2 linked regions of the Mus musculus genome follow. The protein of the gene in region 1 purifies or fractionates together with the protein of each later gene. This does not show direct contact. Links are inferred from orthologs where the notes say so. Each region holds a gene or a part of one and is shown on either strand. Other genes may lie near its edges.

Region 1 (11,161 bases):
AACTGCTGAGCTATCTCTCCAGCCCCTGATCATGTCACAGAAACTATCTTTTTTTCCATCCTTACAAAACTGGAATCTTAGGTCATTTAAGATATCCTTTTCCTTAGACAAGTTGCTAGTCTTTGGAGATCTTGTCAGTAACTAGTTGGTATAACTATTTTATACTGTTAGATCATTTGTGAATTTTGAATTGTTTACAAACTATTGCTTTTTTTTTTTTTTTTGGTTTTTTGAGACAGGGTTTCTCTGTGTAGCCCTGGTTGTCCTGGAACTCACTCTGTAGACCAGGCTGACCTCCAACTCAGAAATCCACCTGCCTCTGCCTCCCAAGTGCTGGGATTAAAGGCATGTGCCACCGCTGCTCGGTGCTATTTTTTTTAAGTAATAAATTTTTTAAGGTAATTTTTTAAAGTAATAAAATTAATTGGTTACATGGGTATGTGTGTGGGGGGGTTCTTCACTTAGTATAAGAATTTGACCTTGATGAGATGGTAAATTTAGTCATTAGTTAAAAGTAGAGGTCAAGGCATAAGCCAGAGAACTTCAGAGATGGCTCAGCAATTAAGAGCACTTGTTACTCTTGCAGAGAGAACCTCACCCCAGTTCCAGGTGACATAGCAGGCATGAATGTTATGTACATATATGCATGTAGACAAAGCATTCACACACATAAAGTAAAATAAAAAACAAAACTCCAAAATATAAGAATGGCTAATTTTTTAAAAACAGAACAGAGTGTGACTTAGTGCTGTAGCATCTGTGGGAGTGTACCCTGCTCTTTGAAGGTGTCCCCACCACAGGATGCTGTTACCCAGGTGCCATGCTCACCTTTGCTTTTTTACTTTAGATTGTGAGTGGTTCTGAATTACTATTTGAAACTGGAGTGTCTGTGAATTAATTAGATGTTCTAATCTTTAGTTTTTTCTTTCTGCACTGTTTCATACCTCAAGTGATTGCTGATGCTAGTGTGTGACCAGAAGTGATTGAAAGGAGATTTCCTCAGCAGATTATCCAGTCTTCTTCCTCTCCAAATCATATTTATTTATTTAAGGTTTTTTTTTTTCTTTTTTGGGAGGTGGGGGGCTCATGCCATGGTGTTTATGGATAGAAGTCTAAGACAATTGAAGGGATGGATTTTCTTTCTACTGTGTGGGTCCATGGGATTGAACTCAGGTCTTTAAGTTTGGCAGTAATTGCCTCTACCAGTGAACCGTCTTTCAGGCCTAAGTTTCTGTATTCTTGTTGTGACTGAGGATTTCTATTCAGGAAAGGTGAAGGAAGTTTTGGGAGAAGCCCAGACTAGGTTCTTGGCTGGGACCCTCTCCCTGTTCCCACCCAGGAGTTGTGATCTGACCATTTAACCTCCTATACTAAGAATGAACAGTGAATGTATCTCAATAAGGAGGCGCTATTAATGTTGCTGGGATTCAACTTCACATCTACAGTAGTGGAGTTTGGAAACCAGCCTACTAATCTGTTTTCATGACCTTGACATCATTTTCCCTGGTATCCAGTAAAAGTATTTAATGTCTGTTTGCTAGTGTACTCTCTGACTACAAAGACAGAATTATCTTCTTTGTTACATGGAGTCACTGCTGCTGGGATTTCTTGCTGAATCAGCTGATACAGGAAGCCAGAAAGATATGCATTTGATAATGCATGGTTGTTCTAGGGCGAGCTGTGTGTACTTCTGTAACAAGAAAGGTGTACTCTCTTTTCCTTTGGCTGGAGTGCAGTCAGCCTCCTTTCTGCGTGCACCATCAAATCCCAATCTTTTGAGTAAAACATGGCTTATTAGTCTGTGACCTTAACCCTGCTGTTGATTTTTCTAGTCTGATGCCTAAATCAATTAGCTACATAAAAAGTATTACTAGTCAACAGTAGAAATAAATACAGTGTTCACTAAAATACCTACAAAAATTTATGCAGGGAAAAAAATGTTAGCTGGCTTAGATTCTGTAAACCTCCAACCCCATTTTGATCTTTAAATTTATGTTTTAACCCAACTTATCTGAAGTTGGGCACAATGACACACACCTATAATCTTAGCATTCAGGAAGCTGAAGTAAGAGAGTTTTGTGCGTTCTAGACCAACCTGGGTTCCAAATTGAGACCCTCCCTTAAAACAAACAACTTGTTTTTCAGTTTCCTGTCTCGACCAACTTACCCCCATCCCCTCTCCTTGAGAGACAGTGTTTCTCTGTGTAGCTCTACTTCTCTTGGATCTCATTCCTGTAGACCACACTGGCCTCAAACTCAGAGATCCACCTGCCTCTGCCTCCCAAGAGCTAGGATTAAAGGTGTGTGCCACTGGCTCTGTTTCTTGTTGTTGTTCTGTTTTGATACTGGATCTCACTTTGTAGCTCTTATTGGCCTAGAACTCTGTGTAGACCAAATTGGCCTTGAACCCTGAAAGATCTGCCAACCTCTGCCTTCTAAAAGTACACTATGAAGTACACTTCTAAAAGAAGTACACCATGGCTGACTCTGAAAATTTTAATGTGTGTGGGTGATTTGGTCTACAGTAATGTCTGTTAACTACTTGTATGTAGTACAGGCAGAGGCCAGAAAGGGACATCAGATTCTGGAACTGAATTACAAACTGTTGTCTGGAGTTAAAGTATTGAAAGCTACCTCTGGGTACAAGGACTCAAACCTGGGTCCTTAGAAGAATAACCAGTGTTCATAACCATTGAGCCATCTCTCCAGCCCATGAAATTCCCCCTCCCTTTTTAAAAATTTTCTTAATTGCATTGATTGGAACTGGAGAGGTGACTTAGTGGTTAAGAACTGGCTGCTCTTAGAGAGGACCCAGTTCAGTTTCCAGCACCTATATTTGGCTGTTCACTACTGTCTGTAACTCCAGCTCTCTTCTCTTCTGGCTCATATACATAGCATTCGTACTCATGTTTATAAACATGGAAAATTATATTCATTCACTTGTGTGAGCTCTGTAGTAGTATATATTTAATCTCAGTTGTGGGTTTCTACCCTGCCTTAGATCATTTAATTCCCAGATAAAAGACACAAAATTTTTATATTTATAATAAGCCTTTAATGAACTAGAGCTGGTCAGATATCTACCCTCTATGCTATTAAAATCTACTTCCCTGTCAATAACCTTGAGTTAAAACTTGTCATGTTCCACCTGGGCAGCTCTTAACTCCAATTGGTCAGCTCTTGTGGTCATGTTTTCATGACTCACCTATCCCGTGGCATGTTCTCTCTCCTAATTGTCTCTCCTCAGACCCCAAGCCTTGGGGCATCTTTATTCACCAATCAGGAATAACTTGGGTGGCAAGGTTATATAGCATCGCTTGGGTCTACACCTCATCCCTAAGGGCAACCAGGACCAGTATTTAGTATTATAATACATAGCAATAGACCAAACCTCAGCTGAGTTCTGTGCACAAGTGGAGTGTATGCGTCCCAGAGATGGATCTCTGTTCCTCAGGTTTGGAGGCAAGTGCCTTTATTTGCTAAGTCATCTCACCAGCTCTATTTGAAGAGTTTCAAAGTAGAGTAACACTTGAGATGAGAAGTTACTTGTAAATAAACTGCCATCTTTTATAAAAACCACAGGAAGCAGGTATAATCAAAATTTGTTTTGAAAAAAAAAAAAAACTTTTTAAAGTCCTAAGTCAAAGTGTTTGTCTTCCTTGCTTTGGCTTTGACTCAGTGTGTCAGAATTGTTAACTTCCTAGGGCTCCTGTTTGTAGTAAGGTTGGGCGCCCTCGTGCTTTCTGCCAGTCTGAACTGTAACTATTAAAGATGATTGTAGTTTCTATGAGCAGAGCAGCAAAGCTTGTAAGCCTCGTGCCTCCTGTTTTAAATGTGTTTCAGCTCTCTATCACCCCCAGTCTTTCATGACAGTAGTAGAACACACACACTTTCCTACTCCATGCGCTGACATCTTTTGTTTGATGTCTAACACATGAAAATCACAAGTCGATATTTACTTTTCAGAATGCTTTCTAAGGTAGTGAGGTTGGTATAAGTTAAAGGTAATTGGTGTTTGAATTGATGACTACAGTATTCTATGATTAAAATTGCAAAATTGCATTTTTAAGGGCTGGGGATATAGCTCAGTTGTCAGTTGTTTAGCTACCTTACATGAGTAGGGCACTGGGTGTGAGTTCCTAAATAGGAATAAAAGAGGGGGATGTTTTTTAGATGGGGTGCTATATCTGATCTGTGCTAAGTAGATGATGTGCGAAAGTCATTATGCAGACAGAAATAGATTACTAAGAGTAAGTGATTGGTTTAAATTGATTAGTCATGGATGTAAACTATTCAGTACTATGCTTCTGTCTCTTTAAAAATCCTTGGTTGTATTTATTTTGAAGCCAAACATCCTCCTGTTAAGTATGCTGGTATTTTGAATGTGTGTGCCTTCATCCAGCTTATACTATTTATTTATTTTTTGTCTTTTTAGTTGTCCTTATTGGAGATTCTGGTGTTGGAAAGAGTAACCTCCTGTCTCGATTTACTCGAAATGAGTTTAATCTGGAAAGCAAGAGTACCATTGGAGTAGAGTTTGCAACAAGAAGCATCCAGGTTGATGGGAAAACAATAAAGGCACAGATATGGGACACAGCAGGGCAGGAGCGGTACAGGGCTATAACGTCTGCGTAAGTTCATGGTTTTCAGTTCTGGAATAGGTTGGTATCAAGTGAATTGCTGAGTTTAGGTACTGGGAAGAAACGGTAGTCCTCCCTTAACCTTGCAAGATGTTCCAAGACCTTCCTTCAATGCCTACAACCACAGATTGTACTAAACCCTCTGTTTCTCTCTCTTAAAATTCATCTTATTTTTATTCATGTTTTGCCTGTATATGTGTATGTGTACCATGTTCATGCTTAGTACACATGGAGGTAAGAAGATGGTATCCGATCCATTGAAAGTATAGTTACAAATGGTTGTGAACCACTGTGTAGATGCTAGAAAACAAACCTGGGTCCTCTACAGCAGCAGCAAGTACTCTCAACTGCTGAGCCATCTTTCCAGCATCTTGTATCTTTTCTCTTAATAGACCCTTTTTTCTTTGTCATGTCATAATTGCTTTGGGGGGCTATTATTAAATAAACTAAGGGTTACTTGAACACAGAAAAGACCATAAATAATGGCAGAGCTACAAAGTGACTTTAACAGGCAGGTAGTTTATATAGTGTGTGGGTACATTGGACAAAAGAATGAATCATGTGCTGGCCTGGATGAAGGGGAAAACTGAGGAGTTTGTCATGATACTTAAAATGGTGGCAATTTAAAGCTTATGAATTATTTATTATTATTTCCCATTTAATATTTTTGGCCTGTGGATGACTAGGTATAAAACCTCATATAAGGGATGACTACTATCTGCCATATCTGGTGTGTGTGTGTGTGTGTGTGTGTGTGTGTGTGTGTGTGTACGTACCTGGTCTCACTTTGTAGCATGGTACTCATTATGTAGCCCAGGCAGGCCTCAGACCTCCAGCACCCAGGACAGTTATGTGGCACCACCCCTCATGTGATAACTAGGAATTTTCAGAAATTTATTTACAAGTTTGTATTATTGTTTTTAAAAATCTCTTTGTGTGTGTGTTTGTGTGTGTCCCTGAGGATGAGCATATGAGAGAATGTAGAGGGTGTTTGTGTTAGTGTGTATGTCTGTGTATTCTTGCTGTGTAGATAGAGGTCAGAGGACAGACAACCTTGGATGTTGGTCCTCACACTTGTGAGGTCCTACCTTGTTTGAGATAGGCAGTATTTGTTGTTCAGTGCTGTTTATGCCAGGATACCTGGCCTGAGAACGTCTGGGATTCTCCTGTTTCAGCCCCCAACTCCCTTATATCACAGTAGGAGGACCAGGATTGCTGAGTGCTACCATGTCAGCTTTTTCATGGATTCTGGGGATTTTTAACACCCAAGCAGATCTTCATGCTGGATGGCAAGTGTTTCCGCCACAGAGCCATCTCTCTAGCCCTATACCATCACCTTTTGTGTTCTTTCTGGTATTCATTTCTACTTTTTGATTGTCTTCTGATAGTTATATGTTTCTGTTGCAGATACTATCGTGGAGCAGTAGGTGCCTTATTGGTTTATGACATTGCTAAGCATCTCACATATGAAAATGTAGAGCGATGGCTGAAAGAACTGAGAGATCATGCTGATAGTAACATTGTTATCATGCTTGTGGGCAATAAGAGTGATTTACGTCATCTCAGGGCAGTTCCTACAGATGAAGCAAGAGCTTTTGCAGGTTAGTGATATAAACTCCACAGTATTACAGTGCTTCTGCATTTCTGTTTGAACATTACACCTCTCTTCTTTAGCAATGTTCTATGTGAGTCTGAAAAGTAGTATGTCAAGGAGTGTCGAAGACTGACAAGGATGCTTAGAAGTTGAGCACTTTGCGCTTCATATAGGATCTGCTTATTTCTAGCTGCCCTTCTGGTAGGGGAAACTACCAGAAGAAAGCAGCGCTGCATCTGCTAAGAAGTCATGATGTTGTATTAGTGAAAGGATTGTGAGTATTTTCCTCTAACTTAAAATTTTCAAATTGAATAGACTTCTAAGTGAGTGTGTTTTTAGCTATATAGTTGCTAGGGAGGATGGTTAGGGGTGGAAATAGTGGGACGTTTGATAAGTTAACTAAATTCTGAATAGTCTCACTCATTGTTATTGGTGGTATTTATATGCAGAAGTAATTACAAGGGAGCGAAAATTTCTTACTGTTACTTTTAACTTACTGAAGTAAAAGTAAAATATTGTCTATATATTACGCCAGAAGTTGGTACCATTTAGAGGTTTTTGTTTGGTAGTTTGAAATACTTTCTCATGTATCTTTCAGATAGTCTCATGACTATCTGAAGAATAGTCTCAGGCTGGTCTTGAATTCTTGGCCATGCTGAACTAAGTCTTAGTCTTTTATCTTCCCTTTTGTGATTGTAAGCTTATCACATCTTCTGTTTTAAAACTTGGAGAAAGCCGGGCAGTGGTGGTGCATGCCTTTAATACCAGCCCTCTGGAGGCAGAGGCAGGCAGATTTCTGTAAATTCCAGGCCAGTCTAATATACAAAGGAGTTTTAGGACAGCCAAGGCTACACAAAGAAATCCTGTCTTGAAAAGCCAAAAAACCAACAACTACCACCAAAAAACACCTTATGGAAAGTTGGGGAGGTAGGTCTGTGGTAGAGGGCTTGGCTGGCATTGGGGAGGCCCTGGATTAGATCACCAATCACCAACACTATTAAACAGCAATCAAAATTTACCAGACTGAAAATTTTGTTTCTTTTTACAGAGAAGAATGGTTTGTCATTCATTGAGACATCTGCTCTAGATTCTACAAATGTTGAAGCTGCTTTTCAGACAATTCTAACAGGTGAGACCTGTGTTTTCGGTTACACCAATGGGAACTGGAGTTTTAGGAAGTGAGTTAAACTAATTAGGAAATTGTTATGCCACCTGAAAATGACTATCATTAGAGAGCAACTGTAGTATAAATTCCTTGATGTGTAGAGTTACAGTTTTTGCAGGTTGCACTTCAGTCATGTGAATTCATCTGGGGAAAAATTCTTTGAAAGTAATTTGTTCATTTCCTTGTGTTCAGGCAATGTAGTCTATACCTCATAGTCAAAGGGACAGTTACATGTTCTTATGTATGTTCTTCTCTTTTTAAAATGCACTTTCATTACGTAAATACTGAGATCCTGACTATAGAAAGATATAAATGCCTTTTGAAGTTAGAAATTGGCTGGAGAGGTGGCTTGGCATTTAAGGGTACCTTCCGTTCTTCCCAAGCACCCGAGTTTTGTTCCCAGCACCCATGCGGGGTGGCTCACAACTGCCTATAGCTCTAGCTTCAGAGGATCCCAACGCTGGTACCAGTACACATGTGACAGACACACATGCACACACAAAAAAATCTTAAAAAAAGAAATTTGAAAAGCCTAGGGAAATTACATCAAAAGTTTTAAGTGAAAAGAAGAAAGCACAGATAGTTGTTCTGAGTTAACAGGAGTGTGCTCCTTGCAAAGACAGTCAGCCCAGCCTGCATATGGAAAGGGTTAAATGAGTACAAGGAACCGACAAAGTTCATGCTGTTTTGGAATGTGAGTAACCAGGTCAGCTTCTTGAAAAAGAAGACATTTTATTTCTTCAGACTCATATTTACTTTGGTTTTATTAGAATAACCAAATTATAAGTACATTTAATCTATTAAGAAGCACTTTCATAGATTGTTTTTCAATAGACCTAAATTATGTGTTACTTTTAAGAACTTATGAATTAGAATCTAATCAACACAAAGTAGAGTCTTATGTGGTGTTCTGATAAATTGTTATATAGAATTGTTTAGTTTCCTATTGTAATGTAATAAGTTTTAATGCTGTATGTAGCACTTATATTAGAGATGACCAGAATTTTAACTCTTAAAGTATTCTTTTATTGTTTAAAAGAAAAGTGTGTGTAATAAGCCTAGGGATTTAGATCATGAAGTGGAAAGCCTGATTCTTCCACTTATTTTTGGAGCTATAATCTTGAGCAAGTTACTTACTCTTTCAAAGGCTTTAATTTCTTCATCTGTAAAATTTGGATATATGTTGGGTTGGAGAAATGGCTCAGCAGTTGGGAGTACATATTTTTCTAGAGGACTGGAGTTTGATTCCCAGTACTTATGCCAGACTGCTTATAACCACCTGTAGCTCCAGCTCCAGGGGATCTAACACCCTCTTCTGGCATCTACATATACATGAGAACAAACACATAGATATACACATAATATAAAATAAACAGAGTTTCTCATACATTTTGGTTAGTTACTGTTTTCTTCGTGAAAGAACTTGTACTTTTAAATTACAGGAGTATGGTTTGATACGGCATGATTTAATTTGTTATTGCTAGTTAGGGGCTTTGTTGTTGTTTTGTTTGTTTTATCTTTATTCCACAGAAAAGAGTGCTCTGTCACTGATACTTTAGTAGTTCCCAAAAATATATGAGTTAATGCCTGTCAAGGGCTTAGCTCTTCCTGGGACATAGCAAACATTTGATAAATCAGTATTTAAGTAGTAATTAAGGAAAAACAACATGTTAAAATACATAGAAAAAAACCAATTTTTAAAAATAATATAAATATTGGTGATTTGCATGTACTTTATTAAAAACTTTTTTTTTTTTGTTTGATTTGTGTCTTAGTTGGGGTTTCTATTGCTGCAATGTAACATTGCGGCCAAAAAGCAAGTTGGAGAGGAAAAGTTTTATTTAGCGTACACTTCCAGATCATAGTCCATCATTGGAGGAAGTCAGGGCAGGAACTCGGGGGTTGGAACCTAGAGCCAGGAGCTGAGGAGGGCTTCTGCTTGCTGGCTTGCTTCACTTAGCTTACTTAGCCTGCTAAGTTATAGAACCCAGGACCACCAGCCCAGGGATGGCACCACCCACAATAGGCTGGGCCTTCCCCCATTGATCACTAATTGAGAAAATGCCTTACAGATGGATCTCATAGAGGCATTTTTCTCAACTGAGGCTCCTTCCTTTGATTATTCTAGCTTGTGTTAAGTTGGCACACAAAACCAGCCAATACACGTTAGCTTTGTTTTGTTTTGTTTTGTTTTGTTTTGAGATAGGGTTTTTCTGTGTATTCCTGGCTGTCCTGTAACTTGCTCTGTAGACCAGGCTGGCCTGGAACTCAGAGATCTATCTGCCTCTGCCTCTGGAATGCTGAGATTAAAGGCATGCACCACCATTGTCAGCATAAAATTGTTTTTGTTAACTGAAGAATAGTCACTACGGCTGGAGGGGAATAGACAGCTTGTGGCACTGGCAGCTTTTTTAAAAGATTTTTTCTGAGTGATCTCGCTGCAGATAGTTTTAAGCTTGCAATATTTTGTTGAATATACAGTATGCCTACAAGTCCTACTTTCTTTTTGTTTTCCACTGTGTAGGGTAGGCCAGGCTTGAGCATTCAGGGACCCACCTGCCCCTGCTTTGGGAGTGCTGAGAAGAAAAGCATGTGCTACTATACCTGGCCTAATTTTTAATCTTTTTAAAATCACATTTTTTTATTCATTTATATAAGGTATGGGGTTATAGTATTTATAGTGTGGTAGCCAAAGGACAGCGCCTTTTAGCATGTGGGTCATGGGGCAAGTACTCAGGTCATCAGGCCTGGTGGCAGCTTCCTTTGTTCATGGAGCTAAAATGTAAGATTATTGGAAATATTGTGCAGTAGATCCACACTTTGTTCATATCTGAGTAGTCTGATTTGTCTGGTGGTGCTTTTAAAAGTAGTTCACTAGTAGCAAGGTGGGCTGATGGGTTGCTTCAGTCCTGCCTTCCAGTGCAGCTTTGTTTTTTCCATCTCAAGTTCACCAGGAGTTGTGTCGGGGAGGGGCAAACTGTTAGGGATCCAACTCTGTCTTTTCTTAATCTTTTTTTTTTAAAGATTTATTTTATGCATGAGTACACCACCATTGCTGTCTTCAGACACACCAGAAGAGGGTGTCAGACCCTATTACAGATGATTGTGAGCCACCGTGTTGTTGCTGGGAATTGAACTCAGGACCTCTGGAAGAGTAGTTGGTGCTCTTAACCACTGAGCCATCTCTCCAGCCACTGACTATGTCTTGAGCATGTCAGGCAAGCTCTATCCCAGCTGAGTTTCATCCCTAAGAGATGTTTTTAATCACTGTTTTCCATGCCTCTTTTCATTTTAACTTTGTATTTTGGCAATTTCAGAGTTGATTAAATCTTACAGTAATAATATAAAGAATTTGTGAGAACCTTAACACCCCATTTCCTTAAGTATTAGTGTCTTTTTTCTGTCCATTTACCTTTCCCTTCCCAACAAAGACACACACACACACACACACACACACACACACACAGTGTCACACACACACACTATATGCAAATGCAAGTAAGTACTCTGCATACTACCCTTATCCCTAAGTCTTTTGTTGTTGTTGTTGCTTATTTACTAGAAACAAGTACTTTCTCTTTTATAACCATAACACAGTGATTTAAATCAATAGTATAATAATAGCACATCAGTCTTTAGCTACAAATCTTACTCAGATTTTGCCAGTAATTTCAATTAATAATAAGAAGGAAAAAGCCTGGAATCATAGCATATGTGCTATTTAGCTGTCTTGTCACTGCTTGACAATAGTTCCTTTAATTT
Region 2 (11,161 bases), on another chromosome or scaffold:
CGTACTCCAGATATAAACATATTTATCTTCTGAACCGCTAACGAGGTAAGTAAAGTCATGACTGTATTTGAGCAGGAAAGGTCAAAAAATAAACAGAAAAAAAATTAAGGTTTCCTTCTATCAGTGCTAATTTAAGATATCCACAGTAACACCTGAGTCAGATTGTTGAGAATTAAATCCTTATTCTGGATTCTGGATTCTGAATTTGGTTTGATGCATAGCCAGGCTGTTTTGATGTTTGCTTATTGCTACACATTTGTTAGAACACTGTTATAATGAATATACTCTCTCTGGAGATAACCAGGATAATCTTTTCAGACATAGGGGTGTTACCTATTGTTTACATTTTGGACATTTTTAATGCTACAGACCCAACCCAGAGCCTCATGATGCTAACCAAGACTCTATTAGCTTTAGAATTTTCATCAAAGCCCTGGCAACTGTGATGTTGGTTAATCCATTCTAGAACTAGTGACTTAAAGGAGAGCAGAAGAAGCCAATTAAATGGCTGGGTAATTACTGGGTACTTCAAGAAGAAAATAATGAATTTTTGAGAAGAAAAGCTAGGCAGCTAATCCTACTTGGGAGAATTTAGATCCCAAATTAAGAGTTCAAATAATGATAAGCAAAGGTGTAATGACATGGTACTTTGCTTTATGGGTTATAAAATGTTTTCTTAGCTCCTACACCAAAGGGATCAAGACAATATGTGTGGTAGTGGTTGTGGGGTGGCATGTCTCTTAAAGATTTACACAAAAGTTAAAAGCAAACATTCTGGAGCTAAAAATCTTCTAAGCATGTCTCTCACAACTATGATTCTAGGTCAATTATTTAATGTTCTGTGTTTTGGTTTCTTTATTTGTAAAACAGGGAGTTTTCTCACCTACCAGGTAGACAAAGTAAGCAATGTATGATGAAGATATTGTGTGATATCAGTTATAAAAATGTAAAGACTTGGGGCTGGTGAGATGGCTCAGTGGGTAAGAGCACCTGACTGCTCTTCCGAAGGTCCGAAGTTCAAATCCCAGCAACCACATGGTGGCTCACAACCATCCGTAATGAGATCTGACTCCCTCTTCTGGAGGGTCTGAAGACAGCTACAGTGTACTTACATGTAATAAATAAATAAATCTTTAAAAAAAAATGTAAAGACTTAAGAACCTCATATAATAAAAATTGAGGAGCACCATACCTTTGGGAATTTCTTAGTGCCAATTTACCTGAAACTTGCTTTGATCTGGCTGCTGCTATTGACATAACCCTTATACTTCATGGACAGTGATAGGTCTCTCAGATCATACAGTCTGATTCTGGAGTCATTTGAGGTTACCAGTATCTAAAAGTAAACCAAAAGCAAAGTTAAAAATATCACTTTTTAGTGTAAATTAAGCCATAACACCAAAAGGATGTTATACACAAATCAAGTAAATATCAGAACTACAAACAGCAATATTACCCCCATTTTCTTCCCAGTTTTAAAACTAACTTTCAAAAATCCATACCAGTGTGGAGAGAGATGGTTTGGAATACTATATGGTACCTTATTTTCTCCAGGTAAAGGTTCAATGCCAGTAATTTTTCTTCCAACCTTGTTGCGTCCTCTAGTAGATCGTACATGTATTTGTGTATGGTATTTCAAATGCTAAAGCAAAATAATAAATTAAAAATACCAGAATTAGAAGAAACCTCAAAGATCATTTGTTCTGAGCCTCAGATATTAGCATTTTTGCCTGATTTTACAGATAAAGCAATTAAAGTCTCCAGATGGTATAAATAGGATATAAATAAATTTTATAAAACCTAAAGGGTCTTACCTCTGTATCATAGAAAATACATCTACCATCATATGTCCCAATTACTGCATATTTGCCATTCTGACAAAAATTGGCAGCTGTGATCAACTTTGTCTGACCATCTACTTCATTCCATAAAGCCACCTTTTTGTCAGGTATGTTCCATAGGCGGAGCTTTCCATCCAATGATCCACTGAGAAAATATCTGTCATCCTAAAAAGGTGGCAAGAAAATGCTTTTATTGTCACATCAGGGAAAATTTAGCTAATTAACACATCAAGTGATTAAAACCAATGTTCTACAAGGAAATCTTATTCGAAAAGTCTTTGTTGCTGTTATTTTCTTTTCATTTTGAAGGCTGCATACTAGGGAGTCAAGTCGTGGCCTCACACATGAAAGCAAGTGCTCTCAGTGAGATACATTTGCATGTAGCCACAACATTTTAGTCTTTCAGCTAGCATCATTTTGTGTACTAAAAATTACAACAATTACACATGCCATCTTTCATGTTAAAAAAAAAGACATTGAACTATTTCATCATATTTTCAAACTGCTTTTCTAAGATATGAATGTTAATATAATTGTTTTATTAAGCATCACATGAAATAATGTCTACAATAAATTAAGTTTAAGAAAATTTGGAGTGCAAAAACTTAAAAACAGGATTCTCAGTTGATCTGTATTTTGAATCTCTAAAAGGGAGATAGAGTGGGTGGCAACTTTCTAATTTCCTTCCTTATTAACTTTCCTTAATACCCTAAACTTTTTGGGGGTATGCTTTTGTTTCCATAGCATGTGTAACACAGGGATACAAGGCTAACACCAGTCACAATGTACTGAACCTGCTTTTTAGGAACTCTGATACTGAATTGCAGACCAAGAGCTCTATGTCTTGAGGAACTGCTCCCATGCTGGGCATACTGCAAAGTCAGCAGAGTTTCTTGATTGCCATAGTCTGGTTTACAGGAGGATTCTACCATGTAAATAAAAGTGCTCCAATATACAGACAGAACATTCATTGCTCATCCAACAGCAAAGAATGTCAACAGAGTCAAGGTTGAAAGATCCTCTGCAGAGTAAACTAGTCTTAACACTCAGCTGGGTTAACGTGATGATTTAGTCTTAACTAATTAAACTTAATTAAGTTAATTTTAATTAAATTTAATTAAATTAGTTTTAACACTCAGTTGGTAATGTGATGAATGCATAGTAGGGGATGGGGGGAGAACTCAGTTGGTAAAGTGTGAGGACTTGACTTTGGATCCCCAGCACCCACGTATATGATAATGGCACACATGTGTAACTTTAGTACTGTGGCAGAGATAGCAAGATCCCTAAAACAACCTGGCCAACCAGTCTAGCAAAATTGCTGAGCTTCAGGTTCAGTGAGAAACCTAGTCTCAAAAACTAAGGTGAGAGGGTACACATACATATTATAGCCACCACTCACATAAACACAAGGATTACATGTTAAAAATCAGGATACTTTCTTCATATAAGAAATTTTTCTCAATCAGTACTGAAGCCTTTTATTGATAATATATATTATGTGATGGACAATTTTGATGCTATGGTTTAGTAAATTATACTTAGCAACTATGAGAAAAGCTGAATAAGTGAAAAGTATTTTATTTTGGACTTCAGATTTTAAATTTTATTTAAATATCAGCTTGTGTCTCCAATCTACCTATCAATTTAAGTAATTCATTTTTTTTTTCGTTTGTTTACAACTTTGCTACTTTCTTTCCAGGTAACACTGCAGTAGAATCACATTATCTAGTAAATGTTGACATGGCTCTCTCCTTCCCTAGTCCCCGTAAAAACCTCCTCACACCAGTGGAGGTTTTTGAACTATAGTTTTAGGTTTTCAAAGAAAATTATAAAAAATAATTGACTGGAGAGAGACCTCAATAATATACTATATAGAAGACTATTACAAGCTAGTGTTTCCTTTCTCTACTGCTACTTCAGTAGGTGGAGAGATTTCCGTCAGTTAGTGCTATGACTAAGGTCCATCCGTCTTTATCTTTAACGGAAAGGATAAACACCCTATTTAGAAAGAACAGTTTACTAGCTTGATGGTCAAAACTAATAAGGTACAAACACAGATTATACATTTTTAATTATTAAGTCTTCTTAAGTCTTTTAAGAGCTTAGAATTATTACTACCTATATTATATAGGCTTGACAAGGGACTGTCACAATATTGAGGGGGAAAAGTTAGACATTTCTCCTAATTTGACGGAAGAAAAAAAGGAATGCATAAATGACTGAATGTTGCACTAAAAAAGATAATGGGTATTAAACACACAGGGATGGACAATCTGACTGAAAAGGTAGTCACTCATCAGACTATGAGAGAGAAAGTCAATTTAGACCCAGCTCAAGTCCTCCACTTATTTTAATCTGGCAGTAATGGTGGCATCAATGAATATTTTTCCTTGTGCATCCATTTGCAGAAAAACAAAACTAATTGAGATTTAAACATTTATGACTCTATACCATAAAGGCATAAGACATCTATAATATCATGTATTTTCACCTTTTGATGAAATAAAATTAATTGCTGTTTTTTTTTATTTGCTTCAAGACCAAGTTTCATTATATAGTCCATATTACTCTGAAACTTACAATGGAAACCAGTCAGGCCTCATATTCTTAATCATGCTGCCTCAACCTAATGATTACTGGAATTCCAAGCAAGTACTCTCAAACCCAGTGAAGTACTTTGTTTGGAAGGGTAGATATGGCAGGATTGAAGAATGAATAAAAAGGATCAACAGTGTGAGTTAGGATCAGCAACACATGTATGCTGCCTTAACTACTCAAAGGGCTGAGGCCTTGAGATGAGCACTTGAAACCAAGATTTTGATGTGAGCCAGAGCAAGAGTCCTGATCTCAAAGAAAATAAACAAACAATAAGATTAAGGTTACTAAGAAGCTGGGGAGATGGCTTGTTTGGGTAAAATGCTTGCTACCAAAGCAGGAGGACCTGAGTTCTGACCCCCAGGACCTATATAAATACTGGGTGTGGCAGCTCAAATCTGTAACCAAGTGCTGGGTCAGTGGACAAAACAAGGGGATTTTGGAGAGCTCGCTGGCTAGCAAGTCTAGCCTGAAGAGTGACGTCCAGGTTCAGTGAGCAAGACTCACAAAAAATAAGGTAGAAAGCTTAGAGATGTGGCAGCAGTTAGGACCACTGGCAGCTCTATCAGAGGACAAAGATTTAATTATCAGCATGCACATCATGGATCACTAGCATCTATAACCCCAGATCCAAAGGACCTGACACACTCTCTGGCTTTAGATGTTATCAGGCACACATATGGTAAACAGATATACATGCAAAATTCCCATATACATAAAATTATAAAACTTTCATTGGTTATTAAAAATAAGCTAGAGTATGATAGAGGAAGATAACCCAATGTTGATTATAGCTTCCACAAGTAAAAACATGGCAAATACACCTCCATGTGCATATATATGCATACAACCAAACATACATACACATATGCACAAAATAATCATACTAACAAAGTATGATTAATATCGGGATATCATATAGTGAAATTTGGTTGTTACTCATTTCAGTCTTTTGGACTCTCCTTCCTCAACCTTTCCTTTCCCCAGTTCTCACCTATGTATGCACCTTTACTCTCTTACACCTACCACTTCCTCCTTTTAGAGACCATGTCTTGCCTTGCAGTCCAGCCTATCCTCAAACTAGTGAGCCTTCTGACTTAGTTTCAAGAGAGCTGAGATTATAGGCATGCAGTACCATATTTAGCTGCTATTTTCCTCTCTCCAATATTTCTTACCTTTAGTAGTATGATTTATTTATATTTCATGTGTTATTAAGGATTTGAGATAACTTTTTACTACATTTAGAGCATAATCCCCCACATGTAATGCAAATTATGAGAATATTTCTTGTTCAATCACTGAATGGTTGATTGACAGGGTCTTCTATACCCTATACTGGCCTCAAACTCATTTTGTTGTCAAGAGTGATCTTAAACTTCTGATCCTTTAATTACTACCTTCCTAGAACCGTGAATACAGCCATATGTTACCAAAACCAGTTTTTGTAACGCTTACAATTGAACCCAAGACTTCCTTTTTGTTAAGTAATTATTCTCCTAAGCTATACTCTCAGCCCCTTTTCCCATATTTTGAAACAGGCTTTCTCAAGGTAGTTCTGGATCTTTTAAACTTCCTATATTGACTAGGCTGGCTTCAAACTCAGAGAGCCAAATGCCTCAGCCTCCTCAGTGCAGAGAATAAATGCTTGTGCTACAACATCCAGTCCCTTTTCCCATTTTTAAAGAAAAATGGAATACTAATTTAAGTTGTTCTTAATTATGTGGCTACTAATGTTCTTTTTTTATTCTATAGTTTCAACTGTTCTTCATAGAAATCAAGTTCCTTCATCTCCCTTTTAGCATAACAAAGAGTGGATAACTGATTACTTACTCTTGGATGGAAAGCGATGGCAGTGACAAAATCTATATGTTGAAAACAGCAAAGGCATTCTCTTCTAGAAATGTGCCATAACCTGACTGTTTTATCCATAGAAGAAGAGAGCAGAAAGTAGTTCTATGGAAAAAATGATATCAGTTACTTTATTACTGTATATATGAAAACATATAGATGGAACAACAATATGAACAAACCAGTACCCCCCCTCCCCCGGAGCTCTTGTCTCTAGCTGCATATGTAGCAGAAGATGGCCCAGTCAGCCATCAGTGGAAAGAGAGGCCCCTTGGTCTTGCAAACTTTATATGCCTCAGTACAGGGGAACACCAGGGCCAAGAAGTGGGAGTGGGTGGATAGGGGAGTATGGGGGAGGGTATGGGGGACTTTTGGGATAGCATCGGAAATGTAAATGAAGAAAATACCTAATAAAAATAAAAATAATAATAAAAAAGAAAACATGACTCACACAATAAAATTGAACTAGGCTTAAAATTATTTTTGCAGTTTTCAGCTTTATATATGTTATTGTGATATGAAGTCTCAAAAAGAACATGGCTATTTCAATTCATTTGAAACAATAATTTTTTCAAATTATTGTCTTATGTATTTCACTGACTCTGAGACATTTTAGCATTACTTGCTGCATACTATGAATCTTAAAATGTATGACAGAAAATGTCAGGCACTAGCAGAGGATTAAGGAGTATCTTAGGTGTATAACCTGTACATATTTAAGCTTAACCATGAATATATGATATTAACTTGATCATTTAAGTTTAGTTATTTTTTACAGTTAAAACACTGATGAATTCTATGGATCCTAATATCTTCTAAAAGATTACTCTGTAATACAGCATAGAAATAAAAAGTTATTGTGCTCCTGTCAGATTCTAGGCAAGAAAGTTAGAGAATAGGAAATATCAAATTTCTCAGAATACATCACAGAGCTTTCTGAGCTAGAAGAGTTAGCATAACTGATTTAGGCATTGTATTTGCTCAATTATCCTGAAACCAAACATCTACCCATCAAAAGCTTCTGGTTAGCAAAGTCTCAATAACTTCTAAACCTCAAATATTTAAAGGGAGAACTATATATTACATGGAATGAGGAAAGTCAAAGGGACTCTAGAATTTTTTTCTAAATATGACAAACAAATCAAGGTTGTAATAACACTTATTGAGTATATACAATTTGCTAAAGGTTTTGTTCTTAGCACTATACACAATTCTGTGAAGTAAACATACTATTATCTTCCTTTTTGACAAATGATAATATTGAGGCTCAGAACATTTAAATAAGTGATCTAAGATTACACAACCTGTCAGTGGTAGAGCTCGGGTTCAAGAGCAGGTGGTCTGACTCTAGGCTAGAACCATGTTTTGCATAGTACAGAAAAGCACTAAAATGCTTTGTCATGTGCACAAACTAATTAAGAACACTTAATCATTATCTGTGTGGCAGCTCATAGCTGTAATCTTTGGGATGTGGAGGCAGGAGAATCAGGAGTTCAAAGACATCCTTAGCTACATAGTAAGTTTTAGGATACCCTGTCTACAAGAGACTCTATTTGCAAAATCATAAAATAAGCCAAAAAGACTTATTGCAAATACTGATTTAGCTATGTAACTATATGAGCTATTTTACAAAACACACTTAAAATACCTATTTTTTAAACACATATTATACCTTATTATTAAAATATAGAGTTTTGGAGCCACACATGGTACCTAATAATTTTAATCTTATCATCTGTGATGCAAAGGCTATAACATTGTAAGGTTGAGACCATTGTGTTACAAGTTTTGATTCTGTTTTGTAAAAGAAATAATAATCTGGTTGTTAGGGTTAATAGATCAGTGGTAGAAAACTTGTAAGGCTCTAGGTTTGACTGCCAATATCCGGAAATAAAGAGGAGAAAAAGAGGGACAGAATTTGGAAGCATTTTAATAGACACTGAGAGGAATATAATCATTATTTTTCAGAGATTACCCTGTTCCAGAAAAGTTTTAATGAGCATATAAAGTTTATACCATAATTTTCCGTTGATTAATGGCATTAAACCTATGGCCCAATGCTCTTTAATACTGCCCTTCTTTAGAGCTGAGGTGTATAGCTCAGTAGCAGAGGTAGCACTCAAATAAGTCAACTAACCAACCAAAGAAGCTCAATAAAATAAAATTTGGCTTTATTCAGTGCTTGCTTCAAGCATATGAAATATATGAATATATTCTTTTTATTATTAGATATTTTCCTCATTTACATTTCAAATGCTATCGCGAAAGTCGCCTATATTCTCCCCCTGCCCTGCTGCCCACCCCACCCACTCCCGCTTCCTGGCCCTGGCATTCCCTTGTACTGGGGCATATGATGATTATATTCTTAAAGTATAAAGTGCTAAACACATGTTCAATTCTATTTTACTATGCCAAGAGTTTTTGTTTAATACATTCTTACTAAATGAAATTAATTTCTTTAATTTTTTTATGTGAATGGGTGTTTTGTCTGCATATATGTCTGTGTATGAAAAGCATATGTGGTGCCTATAGAGGTCAGAAGAGGGTGCTGGATCCCCTGGAATTATAACATATATTTGTGAGGCATCATGTGGGTGCTAGGAATTGAATCTAGGTCCTTGGGAAGAGCACCAGTGTTATTAACTGCTGAGTCATTTCTCCAGTCCTGAAATAATTTCTTAATCTAAGCATTGAACTTTCGAGTCACATAAAGTATATTCAAACTGAAGTTCTGAATATAACTAGTTTTATAATCCTTAGATGGATCATGGAAGTCAGAGCTCTCATCTGTACAATGAAAGAACCATTACTAAATGAAACTTTTACTGTATGATGTAATACTGTGTTAGGTGCCTAAAACAAGTACTTAGAAAGTTGAAAGCTCACTACAAACAGATTCTGATGGACACTGAAGAGAAATAACAGTAAAATAAGTCTTGATCCCTATCCTATCCTTCAGTGGTTTACAATCTTCTTGAATCTATGATCTACAAATCTTTGGTGGCTTGACTAATAATGGAACCTATAGGTTCAAATATTTGAATTCCTGGTCCAGAATTGGTGAAATTGTTTGGGAAGGATTAGGAGGTGTGGCTTTGTTGAAAAAGCTATGTCACTGAGGAGAGGAGGATCAGGTTTCAAAAGCTCATGCCATTCCCAGTTCTCCTCTCTATTCCTGCCTGCTGCCATGATAATCATGGACTCATTCTCTGAAACTATAAGCAAGACCACAATTAAATGCTTTATTTTTTAACTTTCCTTGGTTATAGTGTTTCTTCACAACAACAGGAAAGTAATTAATACAGTAGAAGTTAGGATTTTCCCAGAAAAAAGCACACCAATAACAATAGTTATTCAATAACAAGTAGTACGCACAGAAAGCATAGCATACAAGTAAAATTATATTGAGCTGACTGTATTTATGTATTTAAGGAGAGCATATGGCGCGCGTACACACGCACACACACGCACACAAACACACATACACATATTAATGTGAATAACATCCACAAAAAATTTCAAAGCATTATACTCTTTTTTTTTTATCTTTTTATGACTAGTATGCATAATATAAAGAATCAGGAAGTCCCAGCTTACAAACTATCACCAATTATAAGGCAAATAGACTGATACTAAATATACTTTTGTGACTTACAAAATTTGTAAAGAATGCAGGAAAGGAAGAATTTATGATTTCTTAAATCTTTGCAATGTATTCAGCATTGTGAAATTTTATGTGCTAGCTCTTATAGGGTGATGAACTATTATTATGACATGGGGATTGGATAGAGAATACTGGTCTGAAGACATGAGACTGTAAATTGTCCTTCCCACTCCTTAGCTAGATGCAAGTCAGCATGTTCCTTAATGCATATAAATCTTCTTTTTCAAATCCTTGATGAATATTAGGAACTTCACATGTTTTGACTGAACAACTGAACACAAAGAACACATGTAAAATACTTAAACTTGCTGTCCTCAGTACCTGCCACATTCATAGATCATGTTTTTAATTCTTTATTTTTAACTGTGTATGTGTGTGTGTGTGTGTGTGTGTGTGTGTGTGTGTGTGAGAGAGTGAGTGTAGGAGAAAAGAGGTACCCCTTTGGAGCTAAAGTCATAGGCAACTGTAAACTGTCCTATGCAGATGTTGGAAACTAGCCCTACTCACAGATAATGTTAGTTGAACATTTAATGTGTGATAAGTAGATGTGTTTTAAAAAGAATTTATTTTATGTGTAGGAGTATTTTGCTGGTATGAATGTATGAGCACTGCATGCCTACCTGGTACCCATGGAGGCAAGAAGAGCCTGTTGAATCCCCTGAATCTGTAAGAACAAGTGGTTGTGAGCCACCATGTGGTGATGGGAATGCAGGTCCTCTGCAAAAGCAGCAAATGCTCTTAACTGCTGAGGCATCTCTCTAGCCCTAGGTAAGTGCTTTGTACTCACGCAGTCTTTCCTTCTAACTCTACAAAGAAACTACTTTTGTTATGGCTATTTTGCAGGTTAGGTATGGTATAGTTAAGAAAGATGGCCAAAGGTTCCTCAGAAAATTGGACATAGTACTACCGGAAGATCCAGCAATACCACTCCTGGGCATATACCCAGAAGATGCTCCAACATGTAATAAGGACACATGGTCCACTATGTTCATAGCAGCCTTATTTATAATAGCCAGAACTGGAAAGAACCCAGATGTCCCTCAACAGAGGAATGAATACAGAAAATGTGGTACATTTACACAATGAAGTACTACATAGCTATTAAAAACGACTTCATGAAATTCATAGACAAATGGTTGGAACTAGAAAATATCATCCTGAGTGAGGTAACCCAGTCACAAAAGAACACACATGGTATGTACTCAGTGAT

The links. Proteins that work in one complex are often made in the same cells at the same time.
Region 2: the proteins of Rab11a (region 1) and Wdr44 purify together in Homo sapiens (affinity purification with mass spectrometry; 3 studies listed by BioGRID and IntAct, counting the BioPlex papers as one, with this or other methods). This does not show direct contact. The link is inferred for Mus musculus from reciprocal best matches to the Homo sapiens genes RAB11A and WDR44.

What each region holds. Positions count from the first base shown.
Region 1 is NC_000075.6:64,721,704-64,732,864, reverse strand, and holds part of Rab11a (ras-related protein Rab-11A), read left to right. Parts: intron 1-4,435; coding exon 4,436-4,631; intron 4,632-6,047; coding exon 6,048-6,241; intron 6,242-7,282; coding exon 7,283-7,363; intron 7,364-11,161. UniProt on the Homo sapiens protein: The small GTPases Rab are key regulators of intracellular membrane trafficking, from the formation of transport vesicles to their fusion with membranes.
Region 2 is NC_000086.7:23,791,215-23,802,375, reverse strand, and holds part of Wdr44 (WD repeat-containing protein 44), read right to left. Parts: intron 6,393-11,161; coding exon 6,270-6,392; intron 2,007-6,269; coding exon 1,815-2,006; intron 1,643-1,814; coding exon 1,541-1,642; intron 1,337-1,540; coding exon 1,221-1,336; intron 62-1,220; coding exon 1-61. UniProt on the Homo sapiens protein: Downstream effector for Rab11 which regulates Rab11 intracellular membrane trafficking functions such as endocytic recycling, intracellular ciliogenesis and protein export.